Styela clava: one gene and its partner. The protein of the gene in region 2 purifies or fractionates together with the protein of the main gene of each other region. This does not show direct contact. Links are inferred from orthologs where the notes say so. Each region holds a gene or a part of one and is shown on either strand. Other genes may lie near its edges.

The links.
Region 1: the proteins of high affinity copper uptake protein 1-like (region 2) and ubiquitin carboxyl-terminal hydrolase 32-like purify together in Homo sapiens (co-immunoprecipitation; 3 studies listed by BioGRID and IntAct, with this or other methods). This does not show direct contact. The link is inferred for Styela clava from reciprocal best matches to the Homo sapiens genes SLC31A1 and USP32.

Annotation. Positions count from the first base shown.
Region 1 is NC_135252.1:1,654,938-1,663,501, forward strand, and holds the start of ubiquitin carboxyl-terminal hydrolase 32-like, read right to left. Parts: upstream 3,332-8,564; 5' UTR 3,148-3,331; coding exon 3,090-3,147; intron 2,379-3,089; coding exon 2,251-2,378; intron 2,024-2,250; coding exon 1,918-2,023; intron 1,641-1,917; coding exon 1,519-1,640; intron 1,439-1,518; coding exon 1,276-1,438; intron 654-1,275; coding exon 522-653; intron 337-521; coding exon 229-336; intron 1-228. UniProt on the Homo sapiens protein: Deubiquitinase that can remove conjugated ubiquitin from target proteins, such as RAB7A and LAMTOR1.
Region 2 is NC_135254.1:8,937,387-8,945,155, reverse strand, and holds the start of high affinity copper uptake protein 1-like, read right to left. Parts: upstream 3,465-7,769; 5' UTR 3,314-3,464; coding exon 3,185-3,313; intron 1-3,184.

The DNA.
Region 1 (8,564 bases), on a different chromosome or scaffold from region 2:
ATTCATATTCATTTAATTTCATATGATTTTCATCTGTAACGCAAGAAAATGGCTTTCTTCACTCAGATGGCAAATCAAACATAAGCATATTGAAAATTACTCTTTATTGAAGGTATGGTAGGTTCTCACAATACAATGGTGGTAGGTACCGTATATAAATATACAGAAATATATCATAGAAGGTTGACACTGGAGAGGGTAGAACAACGTAAAATATTTTTGACTTACATTTCTGCCGTTCAGCCAACGGGCCTCTGCAGCATGCAGAAACCCCACAAGATATTTCTTTAAAATCTATGTGATTGTCTCCATTTTGATCAAATGCATCAAATAGTCCTGCAATAAAACGTTGGCAAAAATATTAATTCCACTTATTCGTTCCACATATCTTACAAACATATAGTGACTCCCCTAATAAACAAGGCTGTTATTTTCAGAGCGGTAACTTGCAATAAAGATATATAAAAATACAGTGTATGAGTTAAATAAATGATCAGGCAAAACATGTCTTTGTTACAGACCTTTAACTATAGACTCTGGCAATGGAGGACAAACAATCGATTTGAATAATTGAAGATCAAAACGTCCAGTCTTCGATTGTGATTTTAAAGTCCAGTAATGTTTCTCCAGATCGATAATGTCACTTTCTTCCACTGAGAAAAATATGGAATTAAAATACGATGTTGATATTTAGATAAAATATTCAAATTCAGAACTTTATGCATGAATCTATATTTCTTTTATAATAGGTGTGTGTGTTCCAGATCAATGTTATACAAAGATAGTGTAGAACAGGGGTGGGCAATTACTTTCCTGAGTGGGCCAGTTCCAAATATTAGACTTGATTACTGAGCCGAGGTGGTAGAAGGATATTACATACCGGTAAGTGATTTTAACAAGCAAGATTGCTCCATACTGTGTCCTTTACTTTATAGTAAAGGACATAAAAATATTTTTAAAAAATCCAACTTAGTCAAATGACAATAATATCTCGGTTATATAATTACTTCCTGTGATGAAAACCAGAATGAATATACAATAATGACCAATAATGAATCATATATGAATTGAAACATATTGTATCCGTTTGAGTAGAAATATTTTAGCTGGGGAGCTAGTTTGAAATCACTACAGCTCTTGATGCCACGGAATATTCAAACCCAGCCTTGGATAAAGCTGACAATATTTCTGATATTTGAAAGTAGTTGTTTACTTAATAAAATTTATCATATAAAAAATAACATTGAATTAACTATTTCTCATCAACAAACTCACAGTGAGTCACACCAGCCAGTGTCTGATAAAAGTTTGCCATCTCTGTTGAATCTGTCAAACTGACAGTTACTCCACCCGAGTTTAAGAGCCATTTTGTAACTGAGGTTATGTCTGAGTGATTTTTAATCCAGTCACAAAATACTTCAGCTGGAACTCTGTCAGTCTGCAATGAATAACACGAGTGATCAGTAAAATTGAGTCTAAAATGAATTGTTTAAAAATAGCCGAAGTCTTGATCATTACCGTTGTAAAGAGTTCTGCTGCTTCGTGTGGTAGAGCTGTACCCTCACATGCAGTCTCCATGAGAGCCATACTGCGTCTTGTAACGAAGAGACCAGAGTTGTCAGCGTAAACTGCATAGATCACTGTAGAAAGAATTTGAAAATTAACATAAATATCAATATTGAATAATTGCACCCAATACTTTTGTTTAAGTGTTCTGATGGGTGAATAGTATATTGCTCAACAAAATGGACTGATAAACACTTATTGCGAAAAAATTTTAGCCACAACTAAAGCCAAGAATCCTCAATGCTCACACACACTATCTAACAAATGATTGCGACTTAAAACAGATTTCACATAAGAGATGTTCTAGTAGACATAGAGTGATAGACATAGTCTTTATTAAAGCAGACTTACATTTCAATCTCTCTTCTTGTTTACCACGAGTCAATAAAACCAGGGTTGTGATCATGTCACGTTGTGTCATCCCACGTGAACTGGATGCCATTACAGCAAATAATCTCTAAAAATGAACAAAGCTTTATAATGTGACAATGGAAGTTGAATATAAAATTAAAAAAAATGAATTTTAATATTACTTCAATCGCACATTGAAGTCGTACTGATTATTTCTATTCATTTCCATGGAAATAATGAGGCAATTTATATACCATATCGGAGCCTAGTAATGAACAATATATATACATGTACCATAGGCCTATCTCACAAAATTGTTTGAAACACGTTTACCTGAGCTAATTTTGTAGGCACAAAGTCACCCAAAACATCTTTGATTAAAACATTTTCTGTCATGGAACCCGAAAATCCACAAGCAGATTTGTAAGCTTTCTGCAGTCTGGCAAATTCAGTTTTAGTCACTAAAAAGAATTGTAATCAATTTGACTAGGTTTTCACTAGGTGTTATACAAAGCAATAATTACATACTTATGTTGACAATAACAAGCACAGTATTCAATAAGATTACTCTTTTTTTAAATATTACACAAAAATTCCTTTACCCAACAAATATATATTAACTGCAAATTATAGCAAATTCTGGTATAAGCGTTGTTCAATACTGTAAATACTGGCCATCATGGAAGTGCAGTACGGCACACTATACAAATTGGGTGACATTGTCCCGTTTCAGAGAAACCCATTTTACAGATGATCAGACACCCCTTCTTTGGGAGACGTCTGGACATTGTTGTCCCTCAATATCGGCAATAATACAGTATAATGAAGTTGCGCAAAATACTACAAAAAAGCGCACTCTAGTAACGTCATCATTGAATTCCTTGGGAAAAAATAATCTGATTTACCGAAGGAAAAAAAAATTTACCGTAGCATTCGAGAGTTTTTAGCAAAAAACGGCAATTTTGGTCATGTGACGGCCACGATTAATTTAGATTTTTATTGAGACAAGCATGGCACGATATGAAGCATCTGACGTGGTCCCAGACGCCCCTCGTTTGTGAGACACATGGAGTGTTTGTTTTATTGAGCCAAATGGAGGGAAATTCTTGGAATTTGGATAGTGTGCTGTACTGAAGTGTGCCAGTACTGCAGTATGCAATAGCTGAACTCACCTCTGTTAGCAGCATCTTCATATGACAAAATAGAAAGTTTTGAATCTTTCCCTCCCATTGTACATGGAGCACAATATGCTTCAGATCCTGGAAATTCAGTAGCGAAATAATCCAACAGTATATAAATATACTTTAAATCTTTGTTGTGTAGAAACCTGAGATTACATTGATTTCTATCATTCAGTCATGTTGTGATTGAAATTCTGGTCATTCAGGAAAAAACAAAAAATAAAAATTTAGAGATGATGTTCCTATAGTTATTTTGTTGCTGAAAAAATAAAAATTAATCATTCTGCCATTCTGTCATTACGCCCATGCTGCCATGATACAATTCAAGTTATACCATCTTATCACCAGGTATCTTAATTAATACCAGTATATCTGGTATATTCACTATATTCAGATATTGAACTATAACGTTCGGACGTTACTCTACTGCTGTACTGTAGTGTCAGAGTGCAGGAGTGTACGACAGCCATCAGGTCTTTCTCTAGCTCGGTGGCGCAGACGGTCCACGTACGTACGTACCGGTAACGGAATAAATATGTCTGTATGTAGGTACGTTAGTAATTCCTCGGGATAAATGTGTAATTCTTATCCTATACCGGTACAACGATACGAACTTTTTCGACCACAAAACGGTTAACATAGCGTACTGCTGTTCTGGGCTGTAATTCCATATGACATACATGAAGTAAAAAATGAACGCATAAGGATAAAGTCAGACAAAAAAACAAATGTCAACATGTCGAAAACCGACTGACGGAAAATCACCTGACCAGACTGAAAAAATACCTCCATCACGCTAACCTCTGTGAAGCTAGCAGCAAAACACGAAATTGTGACTGACAGAATCGCAGAAAATACCCACGCGTAAAATTAAATGTTCCCAATGATTTTTATAAGAAAGTGTATATTTTGATTATTTTCACAATAGCAATTAAAGCAAAACAATCATTAACTACACTCCTCGTATTGTTAATATATGGTAAACAAGCTAAAGCGACTGTTACAGTGCACAAAATTTTTTTATAATTCTTTGAGAGATGTATAAAAATGACTGAATTTTCGTCGTGTAACATGGTCGTTTCATGAAAACCTCCAATAAAGGAAGCATTGCAACACCATTGGTGAAAAGTAGAAACCTCAAAGATTCGATTTCAATATGTCAGAACAGTCTCAGCACGTTTTGACTTGACCATATATAATACTAAACATAGCGTATATTCTTCAATTTTTAAAACAATGTATATACAACAAATTTGAAACTGATTTTGTATTTCAATTAAAATTACTGGATAGTTCATCAAAGAAGATATTTTTCTCTTTGTCGCACAACAATAATGCACTTCATTAAACTTAGAATAAGTTGAGTAAAGTCTGAAATACTGAAAAAAAATTTACGCCCTCTTGTGGATTCTTTGATAAATTTCACAAAGTTATCGTTTTCGAACGGACAATTTCTCAAAAACCGCCAATAAAGGCAGCACTACGACACATTCGAAGAAAAGCAGATACCCTATCGATTCGATTTTTATATGTCAGAACAGTAGCAGCACGTTTTGACTTGGCCAAATATAATTCCAAACATAGCGTATATTTTTAATTTCATTGAAAAAATGTAGATGTGACATATTTAAAAACGGTTTGGTATTTCAACTAAATTTACTGGAAAATTCATCAAATACTTTCTTCTTTTGGGTATACAACAAAACTGTACGTTCATTAAACTTGGAATTAGTGTGCAAATGTTAAAATGCCAAAAAATGATTTGACGCCCTCTTGTGGATCCTTTTCGGAATTTCGAAAAATTATCGTTTTTGAAAAGGGCGATTTCTCAAAAACCGCCAATAAAGGCAGCACTACGACACATTCGGAGTAAAGCAGATACCTAATAGATTTGATTTTATTATGTCAGAACAGTAGCAGCACGTTTTGACTTGGCCATATATAATACCAAACATAGCGTGTATTCAAACTTTTATAAACAATGCAGACGTAACATATTTAAAAACGGTTTGGTATTTCAAATAAATTTCCTAAATAATTTATCAAACATCTTTTTTTCTTGGACATACATATATACTATACGTTCATTAAACTTGGAATAAGTTGCGGAAAGTATAAAATACCAAAAAGCATTTTACGTCCTCTTGTGGATTTTTTTCAAAATTTCAAAAAATTATCGTAATTGAAATAGCGATTTCTCGGAAACCGCCAATAAAGGCAGCACTACGACACATTTGGAGAGAAGCAAATACCTTATAGATTCGATTTTAATAAGTCAGAACAGTAGCAGCACGTTTTGAGTTGGTCATATATAATACCAAACATAGCGTATAATTTTTAATTTTATCAACCATGTATATGTAACATATTTAAAAACGGTTAGGTATTTCAACTTAATTTACTGGATAATTCATCAAACACTTTTCTCTCTTGGTCATACATCAAAACTGTATGTTCATTAAACTTGGAATTATTGTGCAAATCCTAAAATGCCAAAAAATGATTTGTGGCCCTCTTGTGGATTATTTTCGGAATTTCGAAAAATTATCGTTTTTGAAAAGGCGATTTCTCAAAAACCGCCAATAAAGGCATCACTACGACACATTCGGAGTAAAGCAGATACCTTATAGATTTTATTTTATTATGTCAGAAAAGTAGCAGCACGTTTTGACTTGGCCATATATAATACCAAACATAGCGTGTATTCAAACTTTTATAAACAATGCAGACGTAACATATTTAAAAACGGTTTGGTATTTCAAATAAATTTCCTAGATAATTTATCAAACATATTTTTCTCTTGGACATACATATATACTATACGTTCATTAAACTTGGAATAAGTTGCGGAAAGTATAAAATACCAAAAAGCATTTTACGTCCTCTTGTGGATTTTTTTCAAAATTTCAAAAAATTATCGTAATTGAAATAGCGATTTCTCGGAAACCGCCAATAAAGGCAGCACTACGACACATTTGGAGAGAAGCAGATACCTTATAGATTCGATTTTAATAAGTCAGAACAGTAGCAGCACGTTTTGAGTTGGCCATATATAATACCAAACATAGCGTATAATTTTTAATTTTATCAACCATGTATATGTAACATATTTAAAAACGGTTAGGTATTTCAACTTAATTTACTGGATAATTCATCAAACACTTTTCTCTCTTGGTCATACATCAAAACTGTATGCTCATTAAACTTGGAATTATTGTGCAAATCCTAAAATGCCAAAAAATGATTTGACGCCCTCTTGTGGATTATTTTCGGAATTTCGAAAAATTATCGTTTTTGAAAAGGCGATTTCTCAAAAACCGCCAATAAAGGCATCACTACGACACATTCGGAGTAAAGCAGATACCTTATAGATTTGATTTCATTATGTCAGAACAGTAGCAGCACGTTTTGACTTGGCCATATATAATACCAAACATAGCGTATATTCAAACTTTTATAAACAATGCAGACGTAACATATTTAAAAACGGTTTGATATTTCAACTAAATTTTCTAGATAATTTATCAAACATTTTTTTCTCTTGGACATACATATATACTATTCGTTCAATAAACTTGGAATAAGTTACGGAAAGTATAAAATACCAAAAAGCATTTTACGTCCTCTTGTGGATTATTTTCAAAATTTCAAAAAATTATCGTTTTTGAAAAGGCGATTTCTCAAAAACCGCCAATAAAGGCATCACTACGACACATTCGGAGTAAAGCAGATACCTTATAGATTTGATTTCATTATGTCAGAACAGTAGCAGCACGTTTTGACTTGGTCATATATAATACCAAACATAGCGTGTATTTAGACTTTTATAAAAAATGCAGACGTAACATATATAAAAACGGTTTGATATTTCAACTAAATTTTCTAGATAATTTATCAAACTTCTTTTTCTCTTGGACATATATATATACTATTCGTTCATTAAACTTGGAAAAAGTTGCAAATTGTATAAAACAACAAAAAAATGACTTACGCCCCATAGTAATTTTGTTTAATATCTCGAACATACCGTTTTTGGAGTGGCGATTTCCACGATATATATAATTCCAAACATAGCGTATATTTTCAATTTTGTTAAAAAATGTAGATGTGACATATTTAAAAACGGTTTGGTATTTCAACTAAATTTACTGGAAAATTCATCAAATACTTTCTTCTCTTGGGTATACAACAAAACTGTAGGTTCATTAAACTTGGAATTAGTGTGCAAATCTTAAAATGTCAAAAAATGATTTGACGCTCCTTGTGGATCCTTTTCGGAATTTCGAAAAATTATCGTTTTTAAAAGGGCGATTTCTCAAAAACCGCCAATAAAGGCAGTTTTGTCAACTATGTAGATGTAACATTTTTAAAAACGCTAGGTATTTCAACTTAATTTACTGGATAATTCACCAAACACTTTTCTCTCTTGGTCATACATCAAAACTGTATGTTCATTAAACTTGGAATAAGACGGCGAATCCTAAAATAACAAAAAATGATTTGACGCTCTCTTGTGGTGTTTTTTTGAAGTTTTGAAAAAATATCGTTTTTAAAAGGGCGATTTCTCAAAAACCGCCAATAAAGGCAGCACTACGACACATTCGGAGAAAAGAAAATACCATATAGATTTCATTTCATTATGTCAGAACAACAGCAGCACGTTTTTACTTGGCCATATATAATACCAAATATAACGTGTATTTACAATTTTATAAACAATGTACACGTAACATATTGTAAAAAGATTTTGTATTTTAACTAAATTTACTGGATAATTCATCAAACATCTTTTTTTTTGGACGTACACCAATAATGAACGTTCATTAAACTTGGAATAAGTTGCAAATTGTATAAAACAACAAAAAAATGACTTACGCCCCATAGTAATTTTGTTTAATATCTCGAACATACCGTTTTTGGAGTGGCGATTTCCACAAAACCGCCAATAAAGGCAGCACAACGACACATTCGAAGAAAAGCAGATACTCCATAGATTTTGTTGAAATACCTAACCGTTTTTAAATATGTTACGTCTGCATTGTTTATAAAAGTTTGAATACACGCTATGTTTGGTATTATATATGGCCAAGTCAAAACGTGCTGCTACTGTTCTGACATAATGAAATCAAATCTATAAGGTATCTGCTTTACTCCGAATGTGTCGTAGTGCTGCCTTTATTGGCGGTTTTTGAGAAATCGCTCTTTCAAAAACGATAATTTTTCGAAATTCTGAAAAGCATCCACAAGAGGGCGTCAAATCATTTTTTGGCATTTTAGGATTTGCACAATAATTCCAAGTTTAATGAACATACAGTTTTGATGTATGACCAAGAGAGAAAAGTGTTTGATGAATTATCCAGTAAATTAAGTTGAAACACCTAACCGTTTTTAAATATGTTACATCTAAATAGTTGATAAAATTGAAAATTATACGCTATGTTTGGTATTATATATGGCCAAGTCAAA
Region 2 (7,769 bases):
GTGGAATTTTAAATAAGAAGACAAGGAAAAATATCACAATATCCTAATCATACCCCGTTAACAGAAATCCAAAAGCCATGAAAAATAACGGCGAATCTACCTCATAAACTGCATTACTCTAACCAGTAACCGCTATCCATAAACAACAAATGCTCGCATGACAGCAAAATTGGTATGTGTGTTGTGTAGTCAATAAACGACAATGAATCACAAATTGTTCAAACTTATGTACAATTACCAATAAAAAAAAACTATGTGCATTGTAAAACAGTGTGACGACAAAATTTCAGTGAATAAACAAGTACTCAAATGGGTACTCCTGCAGTATGTGTACCAGCTTAGGGTTAGGCCATACTTATATTCCAATCTTCCTTATTTTAGTTCTATTATGAGTTAAAATACTGTCTGTGTTAGCCAAGTGAATATACCCCCTGCCCATAGGTCTCAGTCCCTTTACACAACTTTATATAAAATAGGCGATCAAAATTAGTTACCGGTACCTCCATATTGGTACACAACACACTTCTGGAGCGCCTTTAATTAAATGTTTATTATTAAATCAAAATTTTAGAATATAAATCAACCACGCTGTGGAATCTACCGATAAATTCACAATGCCATCAAATCGTGATGTGTGGTTAAATTGAAAGCGATATTAGAGATATATTTATCATTCCATGTGTAATTATGGTTAAAGAAATTCTCACAAAGTTGTCTGGAAGTTACGGATTTGAAACAATCGTGAGGTTTATGCATAAACATTCAAGAGATGGATTTTTTGGAAATATGGATTTTACATATCGTTTATACAGTCATCATTGTTACGGTAATCGGAAGTAATCCTACAACATAAACTAAAGATCATTGGGAATTAACACAGTGCACCACACCCAACCACAAATAAATCTTTTCATAAAATAAGTATTTCTATTAGTAAGCCAAATTGAGGTTTTGTCACCGGTGATAGGCAAATAATTTTTTCATTTTACTAAAACAATAAATCAAAAATATTGGCAGGAGGTAAGTTTAGTTTTGCAATATATTACTGCAATGCCCTTTGTTCTCTCTGGACAATGAATACTCTAAAAATAGCTCAAAAAGCTTGTCTTATATCATTGAATAATACCATTATAGATAATCGATCTTTCAATTCAAAATTAATACACTAACAGTTCAATCCTGCTATATACATTCAGCAGACATTTTCTGTATGCAAGCCAACATCATGCACAAGTTCCGATACAGCTCGCATCTTGAAAAATAAGGAAAACATCAACAATTTAGCATAGTGGCCACCTAATGTCCAATAGGATTACATACAATCGCAAAGGAAAGCGCAGTGTACCCTGAGGGTGTAATTGAAGAAAATCCGTATGAATCTGGCTAATCCAAATAGGCATGAATGTGGCACAAACCGGGTTTTATGTAATATTGAATTATGTTTTTTTCTTATATATCTAGAACCATTTACGTTACATATATCAAAATGTAAATCAAAGTGCTGGACAACCCCCAAAATGTAAATGATATAAAAATCATTCTCACGCTTAAAATAACTTTTATAAAACAAGAGGCAAAACAACTTCCACTCGATATTGTGAGTGGAAGCAACAATAGAATGCGGGAAAATATTTTCAACAAACAATTGCTGTTCTAAAAGTGATTGAGCATAAAATCTTCCATCTTCAAGTGTCTCAATTCCAACAATAAAAGTAGAAATCAAAATATACTTTTAGTTAGACAACAGACACACCCCAAACAAAAGGACGTTTTTTGTCGGTTCATTTTACTGTGTTAACTTTTGTCTACAATGAGGGAACTAGAAATTAAAAGCGTCACATAATATTGAATATTTGTTTAGTGGTCAATAACAGGAAAATGGGTAGATAGAAAAATTACCTCATTCAATTTAGACAAAGCTTGTTGCAATAAAACGACAAAAATGTGATAAAACTACGAGTCAAACGATTCGCTAGACTTTGAAATTTATTGAGCAAATATTGATCATTTTATGCATAATATTATAAAAGGGACAAAATTATAAGAAAAGCACTAACTCTTTAAACAGAGTGCTTTTTCATTAAAAACATCTCAGCAATAACAAAAAATTTATGAAACAAAATAAGATCTATTGCTTATGTTATGAAATGAGTGCAGTGCAATAACATAAATCACTTAAATATCTGAATTCAGTCCACAATTCCATAAAGAACATTGATATGGTCTGGTCTTGACAGTTGGCACAATTAGCAACCAGGAGTATAAACAATATATATCACAAAATTCTTTATTGGATGGCCCATGCCTTGACTGTAGCTAGCAATCAATTGGCCCAAGCCTAATATTGGCATTCTTTGTTTATTGTACAGAGCAGATTAGACTTGCATTCTCAACCCTTTCAATGCTCTGTATAAGCATTCACTGATACGCAAGATGCTACCATTTTTAAAAAGTGCAGGAATTTTTCAGATTCAGCCTTGCCTACACAATTTGAGATGGTGGAATGGGTTTGAAATAATTGGGGGCATCAAGAGGCCTTCGATAGGTAAAAATAAAATAAACCTGAATTGTGGTGTAGTCCACTCATGAAAACTGTCTTTTATACAGAAAATTTTGCCTGATTTTATAGTGATAGCAATTCAAAATTCACTCTATTTTATAGTAATAACAATCGTAAGTTTGAAAATATTTTATTGTATGATAAATAACTACAAGCTACCAGTATTTTGTGGACATCCTGTATGTATCCAGGAATACGTAATACTTAGTAATTAAATGTTCTGAATGCATCTTGAAACAATTCAATGAATAATGATTTACTTATAATATGGAATTCTAAACATGATCAACAGGAACATATCATTGTAAAATCAAAGAGATTGGATGAAAAGTGATGAAATAGTCATTTTGATCAATTTTCGAAATTCTAAAGTTAACAGGAGTTGAATTGAACCACCCTGACTGTCGGGACTTATTGGTCAAAACTCAACTGGGCAGTTTTTCTATGGAAATATTTAAAAAATGTTCCACATTAAAATATTGTGACAAATAATGATATTCTTGAATCTATTCATACATTACGGTTGTTAGATATTCTTGTATAGCCAATATACTGTACTAAATAACAATACGAGAATTAGTTAGCTACTTTAAAATATATTTTAAAAAATATCAAGAATCATACCGAGTGAGAATCATGGTCTGTGCCATGATCACTGTGATCCATTGTTGAGTTTCCCATGTCATGATCATGATCATGCATCATGGTTGAATTATGAGCCATTGGCATTGTGTGATCCATCGGCATTTCCATATTGATTTTTGTTGGATAGAGTGAAGACTATGTAGGATAGGAGGTAAACACTTGCTTAGATTCTATTGTGTAAGTTGAAGAATCATTTTATGAAGACTGGAATACTTAATTTTAGTAGTGCTAATTAAACTAATACCTTTAGAAAATTAAGGATGCAGATTTAACTTAAACTTGGAATATGTAAGTTAAATTCAGAAATCAGATATTATGAAGAAAATGAGTTACGGTATAGTCTATTTCTCAGTTTCTGTATGTGGTCATAGGCCTACTCATATGTCAGGAAAATACTATTACTGTATTACCAACCTTGAAGTTTAAACTTCATTAAAATATTTGATTCTACCGTTTTAGAAATATAAGACAGTGAGAAAATGTACCGGTAGGTACCGTATCATATTTTTAAACCTCAAATTTACTTTTTTCCTTCGGAAATACTGCATTCCCTGGGAAATTATTGCAGTACCGGTACCATGTCAGGTATGGTACCGGTATGGGTTTTCAAAGCAAGAATATTTTCTTAAACTTTTATTATTAATTATTCCTGTATTCCGGCACCGTCTGACCGTGGGCAGCTGGCAGAACACAACATAGGATAGGATTACATTTTAAGGAACATCTACATACAGACATACTTCAGTACAGTGGAAAAAATATATTCCATAAAAACCTTACCCTAATAACACATAGATCAAAGTTGATACCGGGATATCGCATACCAAAGAACCGAAGAAATCCCACGCTCACGCCAGTTAGTTAACTACGGTACAGCCAAAGTGACTATAAGTGGTTATAGTCACTTTGGGTACAGCGGTACGGTACGGTACCTGTCGCAGAGGTCTCACTGTACTTCAAATGTCTGAACTGAATGCGTAGTCCGGCGTCAAAAGAATATACGATATCCGATTTCACGCATTCAGTCGTAAATACTGTATATACTACTACGGTCCAAGACGTTACTATTTTATAACAATTTCAAATTTAATCCTAAATCTAAACTTCGTTCACCCCGTTCAGACGTTCAAAGAATGAAATTTCCAGAGCGCAATTTATTAAATTTAACAGCAACAATAACATAAACCGACTGTTGGTTATAGCGGCTGGAACGAAGTCGGATTTTTCTCGCCAATTCACGAGCTATTCATATATACGACGAAATGTAGAGTGAAGTAAACCCTGAGTAAACCCTATCAACTGCGATAGATTTGGCCACAAACGCAACTCTGTGCATTTTTGATCATATCAAAAGAGTTGATACATATTGCGACACATCGCCTTGGCGCTGAACAATGTCCGCGCAGCAGTCGTATGGCGTTTGGTCTTCTGACGCAGTTCGAAGTTGAGCAGTTGGGTATTTTCAATTTCACAGTCAAATATAGGATACGATATATATATATATATATAAGCTTTGACCGTATCCACCGCCTGCAGCCCGTAACACGAGAGAAGTCACGAAAGGGCTACCGCAGTATTCCGTGATCATCATTTAGGTGTTACGTGTCAAATTGTAGTTTCTCAATTTTTCTGATTGACACATTTATGATAACAAATTCAACAAAGTAGATATCAAAATTCACTGAGCAGTATTTGCTTTGAGATGAGTTTGTTGTTTGATAATAAGAATCAACAGCGCGAACTCTAAAATTCCTGGATCTCGTTGTGAGGTTTTATGATATCATAACATAAATTTATTGTTATGAAGATTAAACAGTAGTGGTACTTTACCATTGTTATTCATGCCGTGTACCGCACGTTATATTAATGACTCTTACCATGATGGATAGATATTTAAAAAAAAATGTCAAAAACTGAAAAGCCGCGATGAAGAATAAACAGTGTGTTCCTAGTCCATGTCGGAATAGAAGACTTGTTATCGTGGAATCATGTCACGCCATTGCCATCTCTAGCTACAGCCTGTCTTAGATAATTATCAGTTGTATATATTTCAACTTTTTTGTACTATAGCTCTTTCCCCAACGCGAAACACAACTTGTTGGTTCTTTCGCTATTCCTTTTCTATGCCAAATTTGATCAAGATAATAATACGTTATTCGGATATTTTATTTCCAAAAAATCTATAATTTTCAGTTGCTGCTTTGTGAACCGCAGTACGCCACATGGCCAAGTCATCTAACTCCCCAACTCTATCGATGTCTGCTCTCTTGCCCCACTTCTTCTTTCTTCCTACCGTATCCTTCTGTTGAGTTCGTCTGTGAAATACTCACTTCTCTCTTACATCTCTGTATAAACTTTCTTTGCGCCTACCTGCATTGCGCCTACCTGTATATTACGTTGCCTACGCACATTTCGGCAAATGCGAAACCTCTCCTCTATTCCACACCCTCTTAACATTTCTTCCTACCGAAAGGTTATGGCTTTCCCCGCCATCGAGTCCATGTATCTGAAACAAATAACGGTTTAACCGTAAATTTATAGGTTTACCTAATCCCATCCACGACACGGACTGGTATACGGACGAGAGGGCACGGATCGGCTCCCCTCTCCTCTGGGATAAATATGTAAATGGCCCGGTGGACTATTAATGTCCACCGCAATCGTTATTTTGCATTACGAGATCAATATTATTTCAATTTAGATGTGCTTGAATTGTTTGAAGCTGCATTTGTGGTTAGGATGAAAGAAAAGCAGATGTTAAATGAGTGATTTTGAATATCCGGAATATCAAGATTGCTTGAGATTAGTCATAGTCAAGTTTATTTTTCCATCCAGTAAAAAAATTAACATGCAATAGTAAGACGAATAATATTGACCCAAGGTTCAAATATCTAAATGAACATTAGCAAGTTTTAGTAGGCTAACTTGATTGTTGGAGCACTCTGATTATTGATGAGCGAGGCTTCGGCAGTTAAACTATCTAATCGATAGTTAAACAACCAGCAATACAATTTACATATGAATACATTAAGTCTGCTTGGAGGCTAATAGGGTTGATTCTCAACTTAAGTTTCAATATAAACAATACAGTAAAGTGTCAATGACCAAACAAATCCTTGTGTGTCTATTTATGAGTAACGGGGGACATACCGGAACGTGAAAAACATCTAACAGCCATGATTCAAAAGATATATTAGCAAACAAAATTTAAATTTCAGCCAAGGGACCTACCACAGACCTAGTGAAACTTCAGAAATCCTAAGGGCACTTGGGAACAAATTCCCTTCTGTTCATCATGGTAAATTTTTTATTGATACCATTTTTTGGTTGCTACTCAAGTGGGTTGGCAGTAAAACGACCATTATCATTTAAATCAGCACTAATGAATATGCGTTATCCAAGAGGTTTGAACAATAGTGTCTTTATTATTAGACAAGCAACATACCAACCAGTTTTTGTAATGAATAGAGTAAGAAGTTTTTTTTCTTTCTGAACGTTAGCATTTTTTCATCTTCTCCATTACCATTTCCCAATGTTGATGCTACACGGGATCAAAATGGAATACTTACTACTTTCCACTCCAGTCTCGAGTTTTTAAGATTTTTCACCTCAATGAAACTTATATCGAAGCTACGCACATGGTATCAAATCAATTGAAGCAGGGTCATGCAACAGTTTTTGTCGATGGGGAAAATAACTAACTTCAGACATCTACCTGGTTCGTACAAAAATTGAGTATTTTATGTAACCTACATGACGATTTCAAATAATGAATGAAAACAATATTGATCCTGTAAAGTAAACTGACGGCTATGGTGATTATTGATGGCTTAACAGTTCGTGATGGGCAGGTAGTGACCAGTTTCGACTAATTATGTTTTTTCTTCGTTTGCACCATTGAACTCGTTGGCATATTTTCCAGCAATTAAACCTCAACTTTTCTTCGAAAAAGGATGGTTAGCGTTATAAGTTGCGATGGTCCGGGGATGTCAAGCGGGTAAATATGGGGTTGATTACAGGTGGACGAGAAGGGTGTGGATGTTAATGGGTTAGATTAGAGGCTGTTAAAATGCTGAAGACCAGGTGGGATTTAGAAGGGTACAGTGTGAATAGGGTTGGTGCAGAAGAAGAGTTTGGGAAGAGGCAAGGGAATCGCAGATAGAGTACAGGAGGAGTAGGAAGGTAGTAATAAGTGGTTAGTCTAGTAGTAATAGAAGGGGCAAAGAGGTTCATCAAAAATTTTGAAACGAGACGAAAACAAGAGGTATTAGTATGCAAATCAGATATGTGGCAGGGTATATAAGGCAAACGCTAATATATCAGAGATGAATGAAATACCGAAAAAGTAGGGGAGACCGAAGGGATTTGAGTAGGCATACCATGGCATAACAATAGACTGTCCCGATTTGAACAAGCTGTCCTGCCGCCTGGTTGACTTAGATGTCCCAGTCATGCAGTATGGCAATTATTAATATATATTTTTAAATTTAATATCAATACAATATTTTTTATTTATTATGGGGGCAGTCCATTTATCACTGATTTGCGACTCACTTCACTAGTT